Coturnix japonica: one gene and its partners. The protein of the gene in region 2 purifies or fractionates together with the protein of the main gene of each other region. This does not show direct contact. Links are inferred from orthologs where the notes say so. Each region holds a gene or a part of one and is shown on either strand. Other genes may lie near its edges. The genes, in order: MAP1S, STK4 and RASSF3.

What was found.
Region 1: the proteins of STK4 (region 2) and MAP1S purify together in Homo sapiens (affinity purification with mass spectrometry; 3 studies listed by BioGRID and IntAct, with this or other methods). This does not show direct contact. The link is inferred for Coturnix japonica from reciprocal best matches to the Homo sapiens genes STK4 and MAP1S.
Region 3: the proteins of STK4 (region 2) and RASSF3 purify together in Homo sapiens (affinity purification with mass spectrometry; 5 studies listed by BioGRID and IntAct, with this or other methods). This does not show direct contact. The link is inferred for Coturnix japonica from reciprocal best matches to the Homo sapiens genes STK4 and RASSF3.

What each region holds. Positions count from the first base shown.
Region 1 is NC_029543.1:2,349,089-2,354,644, reverse strand, and holds the start of MAP1S (microtubule-associated protein 1S), read right to left. Parts: upstream 3,530-5,556; 5' UTR 3,483-3,529; coding exon 3,347-3,482; intron 2,109-3,346; coding exon 2,007-2,108; intron 1,128-2,006; coding exon 1,045-1,127; intron 958-1,044; coding exon 817-957; intron 509-816; coding exon 1-508. Other genes in the region: cocaine- and amphetamine-regulated transcript protein-like, read right to left, coding at 4,035-4,142, 4,230-4,349, 4,587-4,925. UniProt on the Homo sapiens protein: Microtubule-associated protein that mediates aggregation of mitochondria resulting in cell death and genomic destruction (MAGD). Plays a role in anchoring the microtubule organizing center to the centrosomes. Binds to DNA. Plays a role in apoptosis.
Region 2 is NC_029535.1:4,575,053-4,579,923, forward strand, and holds part of STK4 (serine/threonine-protein kinase 4), read right to left. Parts: intron 4,541-4,871; coding exon 4,412-4,540; intron 3,980-4,411; coding exon 3,926-3,979; intron 2,209-3,925; coding exon 2,022-2,208; intron 1-2,021. UniProt on the Homo sapiens protein: Stress-activated, pro-apoptotic kinase which, following caspase-cleavage, enters the nucleus and induces chromatin condensation followed by internucleosomal DNA fragmentation.
Region 3 is NC_029516.1:30,589,716-30,595,173, forward strand, and holds the start of RASSF3 (ras association domain-containing protein 3), read left to right. Parts: upstream 1-1,666; 5' UTR 1,667-1,681; coding exon 1,682-1,850; intron 1,851-5,458.

The DNA of each region.
Region 1 (5,556 bases), on a different chromosome or scaffold from region 2:
AGCCCTGTGATGCTGGCTCCTCTTCCAGCTCAGCCAGCTTCCTCTGCAGGAGGCTGTTGATGCCAGGCAGGCTGTCGGTGCCCGCGTGCGTCACCAGGATGGAGTCGATGCGGTCCAGGTGCCTCACCAGCTTCCAGAAGGATGATTTGGGGTTGGAGCCGCCGTTCACCAGCACGTTGAAGCCATTAACGGCAAAGAAAGCAGAGTCCCCTCTCCCACCTGGGAAGATGTAGCAGCAGGGCTTGGAGAGCTTGAGGAAACCCACCATGGTGGGGGGCTCCAGGAGGTCGAAGGGGGACTGGGGCTCCAATGACTCCGAGAGGTACTCCATGAACTCCTCCAGCCCTTCCATCTCAGGCAGGATGCAGCCTGGGTTGTAGCGCAGCTCAATGAAGTCCTGCAGGTTGTGATGGTCCAAGCCCGAGTCCTTCCACTCCCCAAAGTCAGGGCAGCTGATGGTCAGCCTGGCTTTGGCTGAAGGGTCTGCGGAGCTCAGGATCTCCCCAACCTGTGAGGGGAGAGCTTCAGGCAGGGCCCTGCTCACACCAGGCAGCACCCAGGGTCCCTCTGTATAGGGCAGCTCCCTCCCCAACACACACCACGCAATCTCTGGGCCTTCACTCAGCCCTGCCTCACTCCCAGCTATAACTGTGTCCCCCAGTCTCCTTTATTGGGATTCAGAAAGCAGCCACCCTCCCACCAGCCTCATGCTGCAGAGGGAGGGATGCGCCCACAGCACAGACAGCTCCGCTCGCTCAGCCGAGACACCGCAGACGTGAGCAGACAGTGCCCCCCCCCTACAGCCCGGCCCCTCACCTCCTTGTCAGTGAAGATCTGGATGAAGTCCCGCAGCGAGAAGCAGCCGGTCTGCAGCATCAACTCTCCCGTCTCCTCCACGCAGGGCCCAGCAAACACCAGCAGCTTGTGCTGCGACACATCCGTGATGAGGTTGCGCAGCTGCAGGGGCGTGAGGACACGTGAGGATGCTGCCCCCCTGTTCCCCCTCACACACCTTTTACATCCCCCCCCCCCCTTCCCACTCACCTCATCACACAGCGACTTGTCGGAGGGGTTGAGCAGCACCAGGGTCTCCAGCACATCACCGCGGTGATGCAGGGTCCGCTGACCTGCAGGGACAGCAGCTGCCACCCATCCCTCCCCAAACGTGGCAGGATCATAAGGACAACCCCCCTATACCCCCCACCCCAGGCTGTGTGTGGGTCAGGGGGTGACATAGACATGCCCAGGATGGGGATAGAACCTGTTCACTTCCCCTACGGAAGAGGGACAGCTGCCAGCCGGGACAGCAGGGGATCTGCTGCACTTCCCATCTCCTTCCTGCTGCAGGAGGGGGGGCAGGAAAGGGAGCAGCCGGGTCCCCCAGAGGATCTCCATTGGCTTCAAGCAAACACCCACCCCCCCAGGAGCCAAACACAATGTGGACATGGGGTACCCCAGCCCCACCAAGGGGTGGTGAGCTGCAAACACACATGGGATGAGACACGCCGGCACCACAGTGACCACACAATCCCACCAGCATCCACCCTCAAGGGGAGGAATGAATGTGGCTGTTGGTGTAGGAAGCAGCTTCCCACGTGGGAATCACGGGGCTCAGCCCCAAACAGCAGCCAGGGATGGCTGAGATAAAGGTACAGACACATAAAGCCCCTTCACCACCACCACCATGTTGGCCTCTATGGCTGTGATGGCTGTCAGCACCTCCTCCCCAAATCCAGCTTCCAGAAGCAGCGAAATGCTTGTGTAGCAAAGAGCATCTCATCCCATCTCATCCCATCTCATCCCATCCCATCTCATCCCATCCCATCTCATCCCATCTCATCTCATCCCATCCCATCCCATCTCATCCCATCCCATCTCATCCCATCCCATCTCATCCCATCTCCTCTGGAGACGCATGAATTAATCACTGCCATGGGGTCAGGTAAGGACCGTGGCACTCAGCCCCATTGCTGTGCTGTCCCCAGCTCTAAGTGTCACCTCGGTACCTTTAACGATGCTGGAGAAGGTGGCGGAGTGACGGGAGACAAAGAGCTTCAGCTGCTCATCCAGGTTGCAGGAGGTCAGGTCGATGTCCCAGGAGCGGATACCTGCAGGATGGGCATTGCCTGCTGTCCCCATACACACAGCAGGCGACAGAACCCCACTGTCCCCACTCCTCACCCTCTCTATTCCCCACTGCAATCAATGGGGATAGAGTGGGGACTTGGGTGTGATGGTGGCACTGCTGGTGTGTGCTCTGTATGCCATGATGTGACTCACAACCCCAAACCCAAACCCTGAGGCTACGGCAGAGCCTTCCCAGCACCTCCTCAAAGGCGGTGCTAATGAATGGGATTAACGGGGTGAGAGCTGCCATAGAAGGGAAGGGAAGCCTCCAACCCATTGCAGCTCCAACTAATTGGACCTATAGAGCAGCTCCATCTCTCAGGGGGTCTTTGGAAGAGGAAGAAGGGGGGGGAAGGGCTGCCACCACCATCACTAACGGCTGCTGATGGCGCAATGAGCCGCAGTGTGGGGTTGCACAAAGAGCTGCTGGAGCCGTTCTCTAATGGTTCCCCATTGGCTTTGGTCCCCCCCCATAGTGACACATGGGTGTCCCCAGCGTTGGGCTGCTCCGGCATTGAGGTATCACAGCTCTGGGCTGGCAATGAGGGAGGAGCTAAGACCCCCCCCCAGCATCTCTTCCTACACAAAGCAGCCCCCAGGGATGGGAGGTGGGGGCAGATGGCTGGGACTAAAAGAGGGGGGGCAGATCACAAGGATATGGGGCAGATCACCAGGTTATGGGGCTGATCACCAGGATATGGGGCTGATCACCAGGATATGGGGCTGATCACAGGGATATGGGGCAGACCACAAGGATATGGGGCTGATCACAAGGATATGGGGCAGACCACAAGGATATGGGGCAGACCACAAGGATATGGGGCAGACCACAAGGATATGGGGCTGGACCCATAGATATGGGGCTGACCCATAGATATGGGGCTGACCCATAATGTGGGGCTGACCCATAGATATGGGGCAGACCACCAGGATATGGGGCAGATGGGGCAGATGGGGGAGATGGGGGAGGTGGGGGCAACATAGGAGATATAAGAGAACGGGGGCGGACCGCGGGGGTGGGCAGGCACTGATTGATGCTGGCGCTGCGTCCTCCCCCGAGCATCCATATGGAGGGGGGCGGTGCCCACAGCTCCCCCCACATCCCACGACGACCCCGCCCCAACGACCCCCCCCTTACTCCCCCTCCCCCCCCCTCAGGCCTTTTGATGTGGCCGGGCCCCGTCGATGGGGCCGCAATAGGATGCAATATACGGCTCACCTCGCTCCAGCTGCTGCAGGGCGGCCGCCAGCAGCCCCGGCCGGTGACATCCGCCACCCACGATCGCCAGCAGCGAGAAGCGGCGCGGCCCCACGGTCGGACCGGGAGGAGCCGCCGCCGCCACCGCCGTCGCCATCTTCGGCGCCCCCCGCAGCCGCGCTGCCCGCCCCCTTTAAGCCACGCCTACTTTTTGGCGTCAGCTCCGGCGAGCCACGCCCACTGACGTCACCGCTGGCCAATGGGAGGGCGAGGTGTGAAGGGAGAGAGGGTGGAGGGAGGGGTGGGCTTAAAAGGGCGATGGCGGGGTGGGGCCGTCGGGTGGGGCCCGGCTCTGGGACCATAGACTGCAGTGTATCATAGCGCTGGGTACGGCCCCATTGCATCCCTATTGCTCCCACCCCCCCACAGCTCGGTTTAGAGCCTGCAATGGCATCACTGAACCCCCAAATAGCAGAGCCAGGCGGTAGCAGAGGGTCCAAGTGGTTTAATGCGACCCCCAGGGATCGGTGAAGGCACTGAGATCAACGGAGAGAAGCAGATCTCAACGTGGGGAGGGGGCTGAGACCCATAGCCCCCCCCCCCCATATCACACAACACAGCATGAACCCAGCAGCATCCCAATAGACGGCAGCATCCCAATAGACGGCAGCATCCCAATAGACGGCAGCATCCTTGTTGTCCTCATCCCTTAGGAGCAATGCAGGATGTACAGGTTGCACACGGTGCCGGGGGGGCAGCTACAACGCTTCCCAAATCGAGCCCCCACCCGCACAGCACAGGGCTCCCCGAGGTGGCACTGTGAGATAAGAGCTGTCACTATCAGCAACAGGCCTGGGTGCCCCCCCCCCCCCAAAGACCCCCCCAAAGACCCCCCCGGCCCTACCGAGGGGACCCTGCCCGGTTTCTTGGTGCTCGGTGGCATCTCCCTGTGTCGCAGTTTCTCCAGCACCTCCTGCAGCGCCTCAACGCCGGCACCTCTGGCATCGACCCCTCGGGGCAGGAGCTCAATGGGCAGAGAGAGAACAAAGAGGTGAAAGCTGCTCATCCCCACACCCCATTCCCACGTGGATGGCCCTTTTCTAACCCAAGCTATGAGATAAGCTCCAAAAACCACCCAGGTTCCAACACCACGGACCCCCCCGTCCTTAAAACCCTGCCAACGTCCCCCCAATGAGGGGTACATACAGCAGGGACCCCCCCCCAGCCCCCAGCCCTCAGCCCCCAGCCCTCAGCCCCCTACCAGCTCTGGCTCCTGACGATGTGGGGCTGCCCACAGCCCTCGTTCCCCCCCATTGCCCAGCGGGACGAGGCCGGCGCTGGCTGCACAGAGCAGGCAGAGCCACGCAGTGCCCATCTTCCAACGTCCATCCCCAACAATGCGGGGCTCAGCTGCCTTTATCCCCCCCCTCAACAGCCCGTGGGTGGTGGGCAAACACCCACTGACGCAGGCAGGGTCTCCCTCCTCACCCCATAGTCTGTCTATGGGCTGTGTCCCCCCCCCCCCAACAATAACCCAACACTGTGCTGAGCGAGGGGAGACATCCCTGCGGTGCCATCCCTTGGGATGTGGATGAGCCATAGGATGGACGTCAGCGCTGTGTGCAGCCCGGGGGCCAATTCATTGAGCAAACACAGCTATGGGGGGGGGGCTGCACCTCGAGGCGGGGGGGCAGGAGGAGGCAGGAACGACCCCCCCCCCTCCTCCTCCTCCTCCTCCTTAATGCCAATGGCTGCAGCCTCAGGACCCCCAAATGGGCACTGCTTTGCCCCCCCCCAAGGCTTCAAAGCCCCCCATCCCTACCCCACATCAGGGCTGTATTGAGCTGACAGGTCCCTCCAAGCCCCCCCATGCCCCCCTATGAGTGTGGGGCTCCATCTGAAGCTCAATAAGGGGAGGGGTCCCACATTACAGCCCCCCCCCCCCCAGCCCCACGCTGCTTAAGCCGAGGCCGCGGCCTGGCCGCTCTACACGTGACTCCAAGCCCCGCCCCCTCTCCTCGTCACGCGGTGCATTCTGGGTAACGCAGTTCTCCCCCGCCCTCAAAGCGGAAGTGGCTGCGAGCTTCGCCTCCATTTCCCATCGTGCATCGCGGAAGCAGCGAGTTGTGGGTAGAGCGCCCCCTACCGGCGGGCAGCGCTGGAGGACTGACACAACTCCGGCCACCAGGGGGCGCTCAATGCGCAGAGTGGGCGGGTGGGCGACCCCCAAA
Region 2 (4,871 bases):
CCAAGAAAAAAAAGCCAAGCAAAGAGTTTAAGCAAATGGAAATGCAGCTCAGTTGACTACAAAACAAAAAGAACTTTCTTCATATCACGTACAACATTGCTACAACATAAGGATGCTTCTCCTCTGAGCCTGAAATGTCACGAGCTGACTCAAGCAAGAATCACTTGGGAAGCCATCAGAACTTGTTTGCTGGAGATTTCTAAGACAAGGCCATCTAATGCATTGCATTGCAATGTCTTAAAGATTTTTACATTAAAAAGAAAAGGAAAAAACAAAGGCCAAACTGCAAAAGATGGGATTTTGTTCTCATAAGAGCAGAGTGTAGCTCAGAAGCTCACAGTCAGGAAGGTGGCACACAGCCACCCCAGGAAAGCTCATCTCTCCTGCTAATGCCACGCAAGAAATATCTGCACTTCTTTATTGATTTAAAGCAGGTTTTATTGTGAGTCATAACACAAGCTGCCAAGTAAAACACTGACTTCTTCAAAAATATGAATCAATGGAGCTTCTTCACATTCAGCTGCTTCCAAATACCATTATTACTTTTATGTTCAGAATCACAAAAGGAATTTGCTCCAGAGAGCTCTGCAGCAGGCAGATAAGCTTTACAGTTAAATCAATTTAACTGCACGTTAAGCAAACATGAATATGGAGATGGCTGCAAAACAGAGCTGTAGGCAATTCACGTGGAAGATACCTGCAAGCTGCTAAAAGACACTGATCTTCAATGTGCCTAAGAAACCATTACAGAACCTCTGTGTGCAGGAGCAAGAATGTCAGCGTTATGGTGCTGGGGAAGAAAGAGGGTAAGGTGCAAAGGAAAAGCCAAGTTTCAGTTTGGTACAATCATATTCATTAGTATCATATCTATTGGAATCGTTACAGCAATGCAGCACAACCCGCAGCAGCGAGCTGAGCACAGCCGGGTTTCACTGGATGCTCCTGTGCTGAACCTCTCACCATGGCAGTGGTACCAGTGTCAGACAGCACTTGGGCCCCGGGCTTCCAAGTGCTTCCTGTGGGATGCAGAGCTGCTCCAGCACTTCTGCTCCACGCCTGGCTGCAAATCCCAGCCGCAGAGCTACGCTCTTAGAGCTTGTTCTGGAGCTCCCTCTTGAGGCTAGATGCTAAACCATATTAGTAGGCAATACCCTCCTGTTTCTGCTCTAAATCCATGCAAAGGAAAGGTTATCACATGTGTCAAAGCTCTGCACACGAGTTTCTGAGTTACAAGCACTGCAATCTTAAAAAGAAGGTGAGAAAATAAACACCTATTAAGCACAAAGATCAACTGAAGCACCGCTGCGCTGCTGACACAGCTCTGATAGCCACTGCAGGAGCCCCATAGATAATCATAGAGTCACGAAGGTTGTGAAGACCCACAGGATCACCCAGTCCAACCATCCACCCATCACCAATAGTTCTCACTAAACCACATCCTTCAACACAAAGTCCAAACCTCCCTTGAACATCTCCAGGGTCGGTGACTCCACCACCTCCCTGGGCAGCCCATCCTACTGCCTCTGCTGTAAATCATGAAACAGAACAGCACACACAGTTTCTATTTGTACAGAAATAGTAACTTCATTTGATACAGAGGTGCTAACACATCCCATTCTCTTTGGCTGAGCATTAAAGTCCTCTTAGCATCTACCTGCCTCCTGCTGGTCACCTCACACCACAAACACCCAACAGCGTTATTCCCCTGGCTGTGTTGCATTGGCTGACACCTCCCCTTCTATTCCATTTCTAAAGCACTGGATCAGTGTTTGCTAAAGTCTGCCAAAACCCTGGAGCAGGTTTTGCTGAAATCTCATGCTAGGAGAAAGCAGTATCCCCTCACAAACACTGGAGGGCACCCACATAGGTCTTGCACAGACTACCAGCAATCAACATGGCATCACTTTAAATCTTACACCTTGTGATAAGGCTTACAGTCTTATCAAGTGTTTCTCTATTGGGATGGAACAAATTTCAACTTGAGCGCCTCAGAACAGTTTGTTCAGTTGAGAGATGCTTACTTTTCATGGTGCCCTCCTCCTCTTCATCTTCGGTGTTTATGACCATTGTACCCAACTGGGATTCCAAGGTGCCATCGTGTTCTATCATTGTATTGGCTCCATCACTCATCGTGTTGACCACCCTGATGGTACCGGTCTCATCTCCACTCGCCCTCACCATGGTACCCGAATCAGTTTCATCTTCCTCCTGTACAAAGATACCAGAAGTACGTTTTTACTGATGGTGGTGAAGTCCAAAGAAAAGTGGTTGTATTCACAGAGACTGGAAAATCTTACTAATTCAGAGATCTTGACAGAGACAGATGGAAACCAGCAACATTTTATGCTACGCACTAAGGTCTCTCCCTGATACCTCCAAATAAGTAAGGAAAACTCTTCATACTGCCAAAGTGTGAAATAAAAACAGAAACAATCACTGGAAGTTTCTCAACAGAACCAGCATCTCATTGCTGACCTGGTGAGCCAGCCCTAAATAGACTGCAATCCTCATTCAGTCAGCAATGTTTCTATTCGCTCTGCCAGTTATAACAGTTGATTTAAAACCCTGTCTTAAGTAATACAGTTCACTGAGGAGGCATTCATTACCAACAACAGCTCTCAGTCTGTATTGTGCGTGGTATACCATAAGAAAAGCCACTACCCTCCATTTTATAAGTCTGCTTGCAACATTTGAGTGGTTTTATTTCTATAAAATTCAGAAGCACTGAAGAAAACTGAACCAAAAAGGAACTAAATTATCAAAGTCTAATCAATTTTTTGTACCAGATGAAAACTATTTCTTACCCTACCATTTATTAACGGGTATCAGTATTGCAGAAATTGAATTATTGCTGCCAAAATTCAAGTGACTGAACCCACAAGAAAAGAAACTTCTGAAACAAGTTCCATCAGTAGTGAAGAGTGAGGTCCAAATGACTACAGTCTACTTAGTTTACCAGCAATGTGCAGCTGGACAACAGCAATAGAAATCAATTCCTAAACCTACAGCAGTGGTACCTGTTAAATGTGGTAAAACAAGTTTCTGGGCACCTCATCCTGAAAATTAACATTGAAAAAATAAAGCTCATATTTTGGTTTGAGGATTAAGTTCACAGTTCTTTAACCTATGTGTAAATGTTGGGCTTCCTGGTCTGAATTAGTGACAGAGGGAAAACAGCGAGTATTCCAGCTTGTTGGGCTAAACCTACCCCAATGTCACTGGCAGAACACCTTAAACATTCTGGTGTTCTACGCATTTTCTTTGCTCTGTTAAGCATGTCTGTATAAATGCATCTCCAAATATCAAAGCACGTGGAGGGAAAGACTATATAAGATGTTAATGGAAGAGAAGTATGTTTTATGTGGAGATGAATGGGTGAGAGGAAGCAATAAATTCCTTTGCTACACATCATTTAACAAAGAACCACAGCAGAAATTTCCACAGCACTTCCAAAGCTCTTGAGAACACTTTTCTGCCGGCAGACACAGAGAACAGAAGCTTCAGGAAAACAAACAGGCCTGGACAGAGACCACTCAGCTCCTCTGCAGAGATGCCACCTCTCTGCACCACCACCCCAGAAACAAATGAGAGACAGTTGGGACAACACTCTTTGGGTCAACATCGTGGCAACAGAGCCAATAAAACTACTTCCACACTGAATAAATACACAGTCCTAAACTGGAAAACTAGATGAACAGCACACATCTGTTTTTACAATGCAACACACTCCTCCTGTCCAACCTTTGGAAAGGACTGTGGCGCACGGTGCCTTTTGCTGCCCGTGTCATTTATTCAGGTTGAAGCAAGCAGAGGCTCATGAAACAGCTTTCAACATGCTTTCTGTATTCACATGCTGTCATCACTGGAACAAGGCACCAAGGACAGAAATTCACAGCAATCCCCTGCACGCTTGTCATGCCCTCACCTCATACTTCTGGCGGTTGCTCTTGTGTAGTACAAAGTTTCTATAAGGGATGTTCTAAAGCACAACAACAGTGAAACATAACACACTTATATCATAGTGCATCATACATATTAGTTTGTATTAAGAGAGCAATATAAGATCTGACTCTACAATGAAACACTTCTCACTGCTGCATAAATAATATCATCCAATCAGAAACTCATACTAAGTCTTTAGTATGTGCTACTACTTACTCATGGTCTATGGCAGGTCTTAGCTACACTCTGAACTAAATACAAGGTCATATTTGCTGACTGCCCCATTCAAACATAAAGGTTGAGCAGAGCTCAAACATCAAGTTAAGCAGCCCTAAGTACAAAACTCAAGAATCATATAAAACCCATGGGCAGCTGAACAATACATTATAAAAATAAGGAACAAAGCAGCTTAGCATTATGCGAGGTCCAAGAGGCTGAGCTCTGTATACTGTAGCTATTAAATACTCACTGAATTTTCTTCATCTTCTTGATCCAGTTCACGCTGCTGTGCCTCTTGGCGTTTCAGTTTTATATCCATCGCTTCGTTAATCAAATCGCGCAGGATTGATGCTCCTTTGGCACTCTTAACAAATGGATGCTGTGTGGTATGTTAAAGTTAGTAAGCACTGCACTTGAACTAACACAGAGCAGTAGAACATCATTACCATGGGGTTACTGGGGCTCATTCCCCACACACAAGCACTACTTATTCCTCACCAGCTCAATTGTCGACAACCAACTACAAATGCATGCACCATTCTGAGCAGTTACTTAGAATCACAGAATAGCTTGGGTTGGAGGGGACCTTAAAGTTCATCTAGTTCCTTTCTGGTGGGTTAAGAGCCAGTTACTTGGCATTGCTGGTGAGAATCTGAAGGTTAAAAAAAAACAACACCAACAAACAAAAGCATCCACAAAGACAGGATTCA
Region 3 (5,458 bases), on a different chromosome or scaffold from region 2:
CTCATTGTGATTATATTGTCTGTATATGGAAATACGTGCGGCATTGTTTTTCATGGTTGAAGCTGATTTACGTTCTGTTATGTTCATTTTAAACATTGCTGGTTTTAATGTTGCTAAATACATCGATGATCTTAATCTTGTTAAAATTACTTGAGGGAAAGTAATTTTAACTAAGCGCTATCTAAGGATGTAATCAGTTCGTGATCCGCTGATTGCCTTCTTATGAAGTCAGTATGTTTTTCCTGTTGAGGTGCGGCATGTGATACCATGGAACTCTTGGCTCATGCTAAGTGTCCCGATGCTATCAGTCATGCCACTGATTTGCCAAAAGAAGTAATAGAAAGTAATATATGGTTCTTCCTCCTGAAGCTGGTTTGCTGTTTTGGGGGGTTTAGCGTAGTATATTAATTATCTGTTACTCAAACAAATCTGTCGTCATAGTGAAATTGTGAAAAATGCATGAGTGAATGACTTAAATACATCACTGACCACTGACTGTGGGCTGTGTCCTTTCTTCTGTTTTTCCAGTTTCATTTTTTGTTCATTTCAGTAAACTTTGTAATACTTATTTCCCTGTATGCTCCTATGAAATAAGCTTCAAATCACACGAAATCACACAGTATCCACAGAATGACCTGGGTTGAAAGGGACCTCAAGGATCATGTAGTTCCAGCCCCCTGCCTGGCAGGGCCACCAAACATACACCTTTTACTAGATCAGGTTGCCCAGGGCGTCCAACCTGGCCTTGAACACCTCCAACGGGGCATCCACAACCTCCCTGGGCAGCCTGTTCCAGGACCTAACCACTCTCCTAGTGAAGAACTTCCCCTAACATCCCAACCTAAATCTTCCCTCTTTAACTTAAAACCATTTCCCCGTGTCCTGCTATTATCAGCCCTTTCGAAGAGTTTAACTCCCTCCTGGGAGTTAATTCTCCTCAAGGTACTATAAGGCTGCAATGAGGTCACCCCGCAACCTTCTCTCATCCCAGGCTGAACAAACCCAACTCCCTCAGCCTGTCCTCATAGGGGAGGTGCTCCAGCCCCCTGATCATCTTCGTGGCATCATCTGAAGCAGCAAAGCACAACATTAGTTGGTGGTGTCCCAGACAACTGAACACCCAGCATGGCTGCCAGTAGATCCACTCATCCTTTCTGCCTTAGAACTGATACCCGTTATGATGAAAACGAGCTCCCTGTGGGAGTGCTGGAGTTCTTGGGCTGTGGAGGAGTCCTCTTGTTAGCGCTAATTGAATCCAAGTGCTGTCATAGTGGTAAACAGTAGTATAATATTGGATATAGTGCCGCCATAAGGGTTAACAAGGCCGGATGGAAGAGGGTGGGCATTATTTTGTTGTCCCGTAGTTGTCCGTGTGGGGTCCTTCTCTTGCCCCCTCCGTGCACGGCGGTAACTCGGAGGAGCTCTGAGGCACTGTGGAGCGCTGCGGGTCCGTGCCGCTCCCGCCTCTCCGGAACCCTCCTGAGGGAACCCGAGCTCGAAAGGCACGGTGTCTAAAAGCGGCTTATTATGGGATGCTCATTACGCTCCGCAGCCACCCCCTGCGCGCCGCGCGGTGTCACTGGTACCGGGCTGAGGAGCGCCGGGCGGCGCCTCCCGCACGCAGCCGAGCCCCGGGCACGGCGGGCAGGGCCGCGCTCAGCGGCTCTCCACAGGAACCCGCATGGCGGCGGCCCCACAGGGACCCGGCCCCGACCTCGGCTCCGACCCCGGCTCGTCCTGCTGCCGTCCGGCTCCTCCGAGCGCCCCGCACCGCTTCGTGCCGGCGGCGGCGGGAGCGTGGTGCGACCTCTGCTGCCGCTTCGTCGTCTCGCAGGGCCTGCGCTGCGCCGGTGAGCGGCCCCATACACACACACCCCTCGGCCCTTCTGCCCCGTCCCGTCCGTGCGGTGCCGGGTGGGGGCTCGCGTCCTTCGTGGGCGGGAACGGAGCGGCGGTGATGTGGCAGCCTTAGGTTGTTAGGAACTCTTACCAGGTTCCTGTCATTACCTCCCGCAGCTCTATTCTTACAGTTAATATTCTGAAAGGAAATAAATACTAGCGATGTGAAAATACGATTTTTAATGATTTCTTATGATTTAAGTTCTTGCACCGTTGCGACAGGACGTGTAAGTGCGGTTATGGGAAAGAAAGTAGACCTTAAGAATCCTATTATTTTCTTTTATGGTTGGCTGTTCTGTGGCAAGAGCCCTCAAGTGTCATGTTGGATTATGCATCTCCCAGCAGTGTTTTCTCAGCACGATTACAGCTCGCGCTGCTTTTCTTTCTCCTCCGTGACAAGCTCCATTTTTATCAGCCATAGTCCTCGTGGCTGCTCTCTGGTAAAGTAGCACAGGGAGCATTCAACATTTATAGCCTAGCATGGATGTAACATTTAAAAGCCATAAAGCGGTATGGAGATGAGAGGGAGTGGGAACAAAGTCACGCACAGACCGCTACTGGAGCCCAAGTGCTTGCTGGCACCCCACGGTCTGAGTGGATGGACCCAAATGGCTGAAAGATTGGTGCAGAGCGGCAAATCCCCATCTGCACCAGTGCACACCACACTCTTCATCTGACCCAGCTGTGGGGGTGGCAGCAAGGCTGGTGACCCCCGGTGGATAAAGCCATGGTCCTTGTCAGCACCCCTTGAGAAGCAGCAGCTACAGCAGGAGTTACAGTGCCAATTCCTGGCAGAGGCTTTGAGCTGCCTGGCAGGCGCGGCAGTGCTGGGAGGTATCCAGGTAGTTCTGGGCAATGGTAGAGAGCTTTGCTGCCTTATCTGAAAAGCAAAACGACAGCATCTTCCAGGCGGCCTGCAGCAGGTAAAGAAGGAACTGTGCACTGAATTGTCACGAGGATTCTGAATCAGAGAGATGGAGGTATTACTTGTACTTGGGTCACCCTGTTGGAGTTGGCACTCAGTAGCCAGCTGCCCTCAGATGAGACCAGAGTCAGAGATGTTGACCTGCATGGTAAGCACTAAAAGCAGTAAGGAGTTCCCCTGGGACGGGGAGGCAGTCAGAGGGGACAGCAGGGGGAGAATGTGGAAACTGAGGTGAACAGGGTTCTGTCTCAGCAGAAAGAGCTGCCATGTCCCTATGGAGTGGTGGCAGAATGTTATAGCAGGGCTGGGCTTTGCCATCCTTGTTTCACGGGTGGGGGCTGTGATTATCTCTGGGGTTCCATGTTGTCCTTGGTACGTGTGATAAAGTGAGGTGGGAGGATGGCTGCAGTGAATGAGGAACCACCAAGAGAAGGTTCCTTCTGCTTCTCATGCTGTTCTGGTGTGGAATCCATCAGTTGGTTTTCCAGCTTCTGCTAAAAACTGGAAAAATACCTTCATGTAACTCAGGGAAGAATGATCAGAATGGAAAAAAAGAGTTCAAGGAGATCAGTGACCATCTGTTAAATGCAGTGCACAAGGTGCACATTATTCAAGCAATATATTTCTTGGAAAAAATAAGGCAATACCGGAATTTCTGGACCTCAGCCCAGGAAGAAAGCCAAGGGTAATGAGATTCCTCTGAAAAAGATGCTTGGTAGTATCTGAGCTCTTGCTGTTATTCTGGATTACTTTTCAAGGGGGCCTTAACTGGTGCGGTGCTCATGACTTGCTTGGCCCTTCGCCTTTTCACCTCTATTTTGGGGGGAAAAGCCATTCATCTGTGCAGGCACAGACTGCTGCTGCCCAGTCTGGCTGCTCCTCACAGAGCAGTTGGGAGCAGACACAGCCCAGCTTATTCTGGCTTAAACCAATGAAATGATGTGCAGGAAAGAGCAATTTTCTCTTCTACTATTCTAGTTTTCTTTCAATCTGAGAGTGTTGTGTAGTGATAGTTGTCAGCGTCCTACATCACGCTGACGGCTTGATGGTATGTAGCATTATGTAGCACAGCAGCCCTGGAGTATTTGTGTTGTTTGCCTTATCATTTGGTGTTTGGAAGATGAGGCATTTCTAAGAGTTTTAGATAAGTGGGTGTCCTCTGGGTACCAGCCTGCAAAGGGAAGGATGGAGGCTTTACAATCACGTGTGGTGAATCTCCCTTATTACAAGACTTCTAAATCATCCTTTAGAAAACCACAAGGCCCCTTAGAACAAATTATGGTGCGTTATCTAAATGGCTCCTAATTAGCAGCACTGTTAAAGAAATAGATTCCTCCTTACAGAAAGAGGTAAAACGTGGAGGAAAGAAGGAAGTGCAGGTATTAGTGATTTTTTTTTCCTTCAAAGGATATTTTTTTGGCAAGCAATTTCTGGAATATACGTTTTAATGCTTTTTGAAAGGGAATAGACCTTTTCAGCTATCCTGGCAGCAGGAGTTCATTCGTATTTATTCCCATGTGATGTAGGGTTGTGTTGCTGGAGCTATGCCTAGACTTACCATTTGTATCACCAAACATTCTGTGTTCCAGGGTTGGCTTAAAGTTTCATCTAACGAGTGAGAACCTTGGAGCAGATTGGGGGTAAAGCTCTTCTTTCCCTCCCCGTTCTTTCTGTGGGCAGTTTTCTAATGACTTGCCATTCTCAGATTTTCCTTTATTTTGTTTGAAGACCAAGATTACCAGAATTTCTCGGGCTCCGTGTGGGCAGGAAAGGCATCACACTGCAGCCCAGGGTTTGTGTTCCCATGGGTTTGCTGTTCTAAGCCCATTTTCCCACTCATCTGCAGAGAACAGTAACTCCTCATCTGGAAGAAGCAGACCCTGCTCTGAAGTGCTGTGAGTGAACCAGATGCCAAGGAAAGCACCGAGAGGTGAACTCGCTTTCTTTGTCACCCAACAGTGCACTGGCCAAGCCTGAATCAGGGCTTAGCTCATATCCAGCACTCACAGTCATCCCTTCCTTGGCCCTGCTAGGCAGAGGGGTTGGAACTACATGATCCTTGAGGTCCCTTCCAACCCGGGTCATTCTGTGATTCTGTGATTCCTTCTGCTGCAGCATTTACCAGAACCCCTGGCATGACTGGCTGGAGCTCTGTACCCAGACAGTTAACTGCAGGTCAGCAGTGCGCACAACAGAAGGACAGGAGTTCTGCTGCTTTTAGCCAGATGGCTTTATGAGCTGCAAGGCATGTCTGTTGTCAGTACTCAGTGCAGCACAGAGACAAATGCCTTGTTGATTTTTCTCCATAGAGGAAGAGCACGTCTTGTGTAGTAGCCTGGGTGCAGTGCCCTGACAGTGAGCACAAGAGCCTGGAAGTATAAAGGGATACAGTGAAAGTTGGGCTCTGCAACATCTCTTTTTCTATTGCACTCCAGTTTCTATGATCCAATAGCTGACATGGCTAAAATAAGAAATAGGGGATGAGAAACATCCTGCTCTTCTGGGAATATGCATATAAGGGACATTGTCAGTCTCAGGTGCAAATAGCATGTGATCACTTGTACAATGTGCAGAGATCTAATGAAGGATTCCCAAAGTGCTACTGTAGCCTAAAAAGTAGTCAGGCTTTTGATA